Cricetulus griseus: one gene and its partner. The main gene of each other region encodes a partner of the protein of the gene in region 2 in a complex. Links are inferred from orthologs where the notes say so. Each region holds a gene or a part of one and is shown on either strand. Other genes may lie near its edges. The genes, in order: Efcab2 and Drc3.

Region 1 (4,595 bases), on a different chromosome or scaffold from region 2:
ACTGCATGTGTTACCCATTTAAACAAACAGAACAAACCGGAAGGAAAAAAATCCAAACAAAAACGCTGAGGAAACTTCAAAGAAATGATAAAACTTAAAAGAGATTTTTTTCATATCATATTTCAAACATTCTTTCAGTACAAAAAAAAGATGAATGACTTAAAATTGACTTTGTTTTAAATTTCTAAATTCATATGCTTTTTAGCTAGAGAAAAAAATTAGGAAAAAGTAAATTACACTGTCCAAACACAAAATAAGCTACAGAGAAGCATAACTACATCAACACATACATAACCACATAGAAAGGTTTTTCCAAGCAATTTTTCCCTCCCTCCCCCCTCCCCAGACAGGGTTTCTCTGTATTGCTTTGGAGGCTTTCCTGGAACTCATTCTGTAGACCAGGATGGCCTTGAACTCACAGAGATCTGACTGCCTCTGCCTCCTACAGGCCTTTAGTCTCTGCTGGGACTAAAGGTGTGCACCACCAACGCCCATTTTAGCAATTCTTCATCTTAATTATCCACTTTACTGGACAGAGACACAGCACACCTCTCAATGTGTCTCAGGGCTTTCCCAGGGACAACTGGATCTTGAGGGCACTAACCTAATCCATTTATAGATTCAAAACTTTGAACAGAACTATAAAAGGTAAGGTCTCTTGAATGAAAAAGGATGCTGGGGTGTGTCCTGGGGGGGGGGTGTCTTATCTTGGCCCTGGCTCCTTCCTATTGCTCCTCTTGGCATGTTTTCCAGCTGTTATGTTTCTAATCTCCCTTACTGATGAGGCCATAGAGAGGGCAAAGCCAATGCCTTCCTCATCTTCTTAGTCACTTAAGTTCTGACTTCACCTAAGGCTAAAGTTAACCTGCAAGCCCCACTTGCCCAAGGACAGAACACTTCCTGGAATGCTGGGGGCTGTTGTCCTTGTAAGATAACAAGTCACATATTTTCACTTCAATAAACAAGGTTGGTTGCCCCATCTGCACAGGATGTGTTTGATCAGAGAGAGGCTGGAGATTTACCTAGGCAGGAAATAGGACAGGGTGTATGTTTGCCCCCATTGGCCAAAGGTGGAAAGTACAGTGGCCTTGTGGGTTTGGCCTTTATAGGCACCTGACTGACCTGATTTCAGCACCATTTCTCTGGGAATCCTGAATACAGACCTGGCTAGTCTCCACCTTCCTGGTCAGTATTTAATAGAGCTTGCTTCAGTTGGACAATCACAGGTTTGGTCTTCTCAAAATTCTCCAGTTTAATACTAACTTTCCATCAAACAAGCATTAAATATACAAGAACTTTAATATATATGAAATTCAGCTTTCAACAGCCACTACTTAACTTGTACAGTTGCAGACAGAACTGTTTCTTCCTCTAAATGTATTTTAAGCTGAAAAATATGCTTTGTTAACTAAAGAATCAGGAATTCATTCTCTTTCTCTCTCTCTCTCTCTCTCTCTCTCTCTCTCTCTCTCTCTCTCTCTCTCTCTCTCTCTCTCTCCCTCCTTCCCTCCCTCCCTCTCTCTAGGGCTAAAAATCAGACTGGGCATACTCCTTTAATCACATCACTGAGTTCTACAAACCAATCAGGGGCACAAGGTAAATAAAAGAATATATTTTCTTGCATTGTAAAAACTGGCAGTATATGCCAATGCTCCCCTAAGCAAGTCTTTTTTAAAAAATGTAATTTATCTCCTAATAGTTCTTTTTCCCTTTTATTTTCTTTGGGGGGGGGGTAAATAAGAATCTAATTAAATAAAAGGGAAAGCTTTTTTATGTGAAAATTTTTTTCATATATTATTTTGGTCATATTCTTTCACCTCCCTGATCCTCCCTACCCCCCTACTCAACAACTATCATATTCTTAAAAAAAAAAAAAAAAAAAAAAAGTACATGGACATTTTTCTTAAGAGTGTTCCTTTCACTTCTAAAGCAGTAACACAAAACCTTAATACCTTAATAGGGTTAAACCTGTACTACAATCCCGGCTTCTGAGATTAATTTTATCATGTATAAATCTCAATTTCCAGTTATCAATAAACAGATCTCTGGCAGTCTCACAGTTTCCCTGCTGCTTTTCTGCGGTCACCATGACGATGGACTAAACACCTCATGTAAATATTAGTTAACTACTTTGTTCCAAACTGAGAGTGGAGGAGGGTCGATATGGTGCGTTGTGAAAACTCAAAAAAACTGCAACAAAGATGGAGCGTGACCTTCCCTCCACGAATATTTGCCCTTTACTATCTTAGGGCTTGCTTTATGTATTTATTTACTGATTTATGGAGCGGTGATTTCGGTCAATTGTGGTGTAATTGCTGTTGGGTCACTGGACGCTAACCACGGACCCGATTTTAAGTCACGCTGCTGGGTTAGAAGCCAACTCAAAGGGTCTAGCAGTTCAACGCGGATCGTCGCTTTTCGGGGTCCCCGGAGGCCTCGCGGGTCACTGCAGCCGCCTCGGTCGGTCCCCAGCACGCGCGGGGAACCCGGCGGGTCCGGGCGGCCCCGACGGGTCCCCGGCTGGGTTTTCCTTTCCGTTCTTATTATAAAGCGGTTATTTGGGCATCTCTTCCTTTAAGCGAGGTTCTGGCGACACCCGGGCGAGCACGGCCCGGTGTGACCTCGAGGCCTCGCTCTGCCGCCTGGCGGAGGAGGCAACATGGAGGCGGCCGGCGCCTGGGGCCGGGCCGGGCGTGGCTACGGCGCGACCGCAGAGGCTCCCGCCCGGTTCCGGCGCCGGCTCGCGTCCGCCGTGAGGCCGGCCTCCGGGTCCCCACAGTCCCGGGCGCGGCGGGCGTGGAGGCCCCGGGAACAAGGACGCCATTATGAAGGTCCCCTGCGGCTGCCACGGCCGCAGCCCGCGCGGACCTCAGCCGGGGGATGGGAGGGCGCGGCGGGCGGGGCGGAGGGGCCGCGGGGCGGAGCCGACGGCGGGGACGCGGGCTGGCGCCGCTCCTCGGCCCCCGTCTGCCCGCCGCGCCGCGCCGCCCCGCGCCGCCGAGGGGCTCAAGATGGAGGCCCCGGCAGCGTTCCTACCTGTGCCTTCCCGTTCCTTCTCCTCCGCCATCTTGGTGCGGAGCCCGTCGCCTGGGAGATGCCCATCACAAGCCCTGCGGGGCGCGCGAGCCCGGCCTGCGGGAGGGAGCCCCTCGGCGCGCGGGGGTCCTCCCGCTTCCGCCCGGGGCCCGCTCCGCTCCCCCAGCCCAGCCCCGGGGTCTTGCGGCCTAGGGGAGTCGTTTATTAATAAAGTTCCGGAGCCCGCCTTGGCCTGTTTGTGACCGTCCTGAGAGTTCAAGCGCTGCGCGCTCCCCCTCGGGGGACGGGGCTGCCTCGTTTGTGTGCTTATTTGTTTATTTACTTATTTATTTATTTACTTATTTGCGGTTTCTGCTGCTTCGGTTTGGTTTTGTATTGTTTTTGCGCAGAGCTCGCGTGCAGAGCGCGGCTTCTCCCCGGCCCATTCACAACCGTAAGGCCGCTCGCCCGCTGCCCTCCCTCCCGCTCGCCCGCCAGCCAGGCCCGGTGCGTCCCCTGGGTCGCCCTCTAAGCGGAGCCACTGCGCAGCCCAGGGAAACTGGAGCGAAAACGGACGTGGGCCGCTGCCGGAGGAAGCCAGCAGGCCTCTCTCCGGGATCGCGAGAGAGGGCTCGCTGTAGGAAAACACGTGCAAAATAGGCGCAAAACACTGCGTCGTCAAGGCTGCAATGTCTGGTACAAAATAGTGTTCTCATAGCAACGAATAAATTGCCGGTCTGTTCTCAGTATTACACACATTGATAGGTTGATGGTGCAGTTTGGCGTGACCTTCCAGGGAGAGTTTTGAATCCTATGTTCCTGAGGAACTTGGCTGTAGTGTTTTGTTATTTTATGGGTAAGCTTGATATATTTGGATGTTTTCTTTTTAAAAAAAAAAGTATTAAAATGTCTTTAACAATGTGGCTCAGATGAATAACTAGTTTTAATCCTTAATGATATTTCAGGGCATGTGTACTCATTTAAAAATTTATTATAAAAATAACAACTAAATGTTAAGGCTTTTAAAATGCAAGATATTAGTATTTAAATTTGGGGAGGGGGAAGGGAGGTTCGAGACGGGCTTTCTCTCAGTGTGGCTTTGGAGGCTGTCCTGGAACTAGCTTTTGTAGACCAGGCTGATCTCGAACTCAACAGAGATCAGCCTGCCTCTGCTCCTGAGTGCTGGGATTAAAGGCATGCACACCGCCAGGCTGTATTTAATTTTGTGTTACTGGTTTTTCTTAACTGAACTTCTGTAAACAGAGTGCAATGAACCTTCAAAGCAGGCCAAGCAAGTGTGGGGAGAAAGAGAACCGGCCATTCCTGATTGCAGAGGATCCTAAATGTTGCCTGCTCCCTAAGTCTTTCTCCACCTCTTCCTCAGTGGTTCCATAGTTCCACAAGCTCTTGGAATGGTTTATAGTGCTTTTATTTATTTGTTTCTACCACATAAGTTTCTAGCGAATAAAGTTGTGTTATACAATGGGACATTCTGTCTGGAAATTGTCTTGTATGTCTGTGTCTATATGTGAGAAAGAGTGTATATGTGTCTGTGTGTGAGAAAGAAAGTGTGAGTATGT
Region 2 (3,809 bases):
AGGACAGCCTGGAAGGTTAAAAGTACAAGTGTGGTTAGCCTCATCTGTTTGGATTCTCTCAAGGGCCTTTTAGCTGCGTCACAACATCAGATGGCATTATGTTGGAGTGCAAGCTCCAGTGTCAGGTGACAGATGTTGAGTAGGTCATGTGTGGGGGAGAAGAGGTACAGGAGAGGGCTGGCAAAGCAGAGTTTTCTTTAGAAAACCCACCTCTGACTGGCCAGCAACCCAGTCCCACACAGGGAAAAGCGCCAGGCCTTTCTATCGACCGATTCATTTCTTTTAAAATGAAAAAAGAGTTATTGGGAGTGCATGCATGTGGAGATCAGGACAACTTTGTGGAGTCAGTCTTCTCTTTTCACCTCTGCATGGCTTCCAGCAATTGAACTGAGGTCTTCAGCCTTGCATAGCAAATGTCTTTACCTCCTGAGCCATCCCTCACCCCACACCCCCAATCACGTCTTACCGGTACCACGTCTCAATCTTGCCACCTTATGAGATGAGACTATATCCACTCCACAGCAAAAACAGTTCCAATCTTTGAGCAAACCAGACAGAAACCCCTTAGAGCCCCAGGGAGCAAGTGGAAGTCTATGGAAAATAGGCTGAACATTTTGAGTGAGACAGTCTTGTGGGCTGGTGAGCAACCTGTTCATCAGCAAAGGTCCCAGTAACGTGACCAGCACCAGTGTAATGCAACCTTGTTTTGTGACTAAAAGTATGAGCCCTGAAGCAGGAAGGAGCAATGATACTGGTTAGTGGGACAAAGGACATGTGTGATACTTTCCTGCCTGGGAAGGACCCAGCTCATGCCTACCACAACCCTTACTTGAAGACTAGTGAAGGTTCCAATGCAAAAACAAATGTAAAAAAGCAAGAAGAAAATCAGGAGATTTTTTTTTCCCTTTGAGACATTGTCTCACATAGCTCTGGCTGGTCTCAAAACTTGCTAGGTAGCTGAAGCTAATTCCCTTGCCTCTACCTTCCAGGAGTGTTTCCCCACACTTGAATTTATGTGGGACTGGTGGGACTGAAGGTAGAACCCAGGATTTCATGCTATGCTAGCATTGTACCAACTGAACTACATCCTCAGTCCAACAAGAAAGACCTTTACTGGAGACTCTCAGAACGGAGAAATACTTTCCAAGAACAACCAGAAGGAAGACTGGTAAATTTTATTCTATTAAAAATTTATGCCAGTGGTGGTGCAAACCTTAAATCCCAGCACTTGGGAGGCAGAGGCAGGCTGAGCTCTGTGATTTTGAGGCTAGCCTGGTCTACAGAGTGAGTTTCAAGACAGGCAAAAGCTACACAGAGAACCCATCTCGAAAAACAAAACATATATATATATATATATATATATATATATATATATATATATGCTGGGGGTATAATATGCTTAGTAGACTGCCTGACTATACAAACAAACACTCCACATGACAAAAGCAACATAGACAAATGTCAAGATAAATAGCAAAGTACTTGGAAAAGTACTCTCAAGTTACTTCGAAGACACAGGGCTACTAGCTCAACCTATAAAGAGCCATCATAAAGTAATACCTTAAAACGTATAGGGGAGAGAAAGAGAAAATGGAAGAATGGCAGTGAGCTAGACAAGCAAAACCAAAGATGGGCTAAAATGAGAGGCTTGTGAGGAGCAGGCAGGCTGAGATTGGAATGGACTCAGTGGGTGCAGAGCAGCACTCACTCCACTAAAACCCCAAGGCACCGTGACTTGATCCCTGCTGGTGCTGCTGGCAGAAGAGCCCCAGGAACCTCCTTAGTTCCCTAGCTCTTCTCTGGAGGTGAGCCTTTCTATAGCTCTAGGACAACCCTGACCACTCTGCCACTCAGATAAGAAAGGCTTTGGCCCAGGGCCCAGGCCTTACAAGGTGGGAACTGCCAAGGACAGAAAGCATGTACATCAGAACCCTAGCATGCCAGGGCCAGGCAGAGTGAGGCTTGGAAAATAAATGGCTGCTGAATGAATGAATGAATGAATGAATGAACAGATAAACAAACAGAAGAAAGTATGGGTATTACTACCTAATGGTATATCTCACACTAATGATGATGAGTGGGGGTGGGGTGGCTTGAATCCTAGGGGTATCTGATGTGAGGGAGATACCCTGTGTTGGATTAGTTGAGCTGTGTGTGGTGCCATTTGGTGAAACTGTGACCCCTGGTACATGGACAGAGACTTGGGGCCTCAGAGCCACTGGAAGACATGAACATTGCAGCCCCTCCACAGTGAGGGGAGTCCTGGCAGCCTGGCACAGGAGAAGGGGACTTACCAGCAGATGCTTTTCCTCAAACTTGGTAACCTTGAGCTTGCCCTGTTCCTGGTTCTCCCGGATAGCATCCTGAATGCACTCATTGAAAGTGTCTAACTCTGCCATTCGCTTCTCCTGCTGCTTCAAACCATATTCAAAAATGTTCAGGCAGATGATGACAAATTTGTCCTTGTAGGTAAGTGGCTGTTAAGGAAGCTTGGGGCTCAAGAGCAGGCCACTAGGATTGTGACAAAAATGTTGACAGTTCCTTGCAGGACATACCATGCTGAGAACTATGGAGGGTACAGGTGATCCTTTTGGACAGAAGGAGAAACAGAGAAGCCAGGGAACCAGGGCTTGCAATTCGGTTATGACATCTCTACCTGTGCCTAAGGAACTTGGGAACATGGCTAAAGGCCTTAGAAGAGACTTCTAGAGGACTAGGGGTGTGGGTGAGAGCTAGAAGCAGCCTGGCTAGGAGAAGGAGGTGGAGTCCTTTTTTTTTTTTTTTTTTTAATCTCTGGTTATCTGGTTAAATTAAGATTTTTTTTTAATCTTCTGGGGAGGGCCTGCCCTGTAACTCATCTGAGCTATGAGAGGAACCAGGTGGTCTAAGTTCAATTCCTGGCTCTAATGCTGCTCCTGGGACCCATGCTAGCAAGTTACCTCTTTAGGCCTCAGTATCTTTACCTCAGCTAACAGCATGGAGGAAGCCACCACAAGAATTCTTCAGAAGCTGGGAGTGGTGGCACACACCTTCAATTCCAGAATTGGGTGGGGCCAGAGGCAGGGGATTTCTGTGAGTGAGTTCCAAGCCAGTTAGGGCTACAACAGTGAAACCTTGTCACAAAACAAAACAAAACAAAACAAAAAGCATCCTTCCTTGGCAGAGACCTGGGGCTCAGGACAGGCAAACCCATGGGGTCTTGGGGATGCTGTGGGGATGTGTTCAGGAGATTGGATGCCTTTCTACAAATCCCACAGCTTTCCAGTGCTTAAGCCAAGAGCATGGGTCCCTAAGGAAGACAATGGCCAGCAAGGTAGACACCCTTTTTCACTCAGTCTCTCCATAATGTTGAGTATTCTGTGTAGGTAGTCACTGAAAAAGTTGTCAAGTTCAATGCAGCCACTGATGTCTAGGCTCTGCCCTTAGCAGCTCACCAGAGCTGGGAGGGCCGTGTATGGAGGTTCTCACATAGGAGCCATCAACAGGCTCAGCCAGCTTCATACTCTCACACGTCCAAACCAGGAAAAGGACTAGCTGTACCCCATGACTGCTGCTGGCGCCATGACATCACACAGTGCAGTCACTTTTCACTCCTAGTGAATCCTGACCTTTTCCAAACTGCAATTCTAGTTTCATATCTTATTCACAAACAACACTTCCTTTATTAGAGACTCATCTCTGTAGTTTTTTCTGGAGATTGACACCTGTGTTGGGGGCCCCACAGATTGGCTGTCTCAACCCAGAGCCTTCAGTTCCTGAATGCCTCATGTCCTGGAAGTCCCCTCCATCTCCTGCTTACCACTGAAGCT

Evidence for each region.
Region 1: Drc3 (region 2) and Efcab2 share a complex: the UniProt entries of both Homo sapiens proteins name them as parts of the nexin-dynein regulatory complex. The link is inferred for Cricetulus griseus from reciprocal best matches to the Homo sapiens genes DRC3 and DRC8.

What each region holds. Positions count from the first base shown.
Region 1 is NC_048598.1:15,756,010-15,760,604, forward strand, and holds the start of Efcab2 (dynein regulatory complex protein 8), read right to left. Parts: upstream 3,068-4,595; coding exon 3,037-3,067; coding exon of another isoform or gene 2,660-3,036; exon of another isoform or gene 2,149-2,659; intron 1-2,148. Other genes in the region: protein SOGA3, read left to right, coding at 2,660-3,244. UniProt on the Homo sapiens protein: Component of the nexin-dynein regulatory complex (N-DRC), a key regulator of ciliary/flagellar motility which maintains the alignment and integrity of the distal axoneme and regulates microtubule sliding in motile axonemes.
Region 2 is NC_048600.1:74,503,563-74,507,371, reverse strand, and holds part of Drc3 (dynein regulatory complex subunit 3), read right to left. Parts: intron 2,470-3,809; coding exon 2,295-2,469; intron 1-2,294. UniProt on the Homo sapiens protein: Component of the nexin-dynein regulatory complex (N-DRC) a key regulator of ciliary/flagellar motility which maintains the alignment and integrity of the distal axoneme and regulates microtubule sliding in motile axonemes.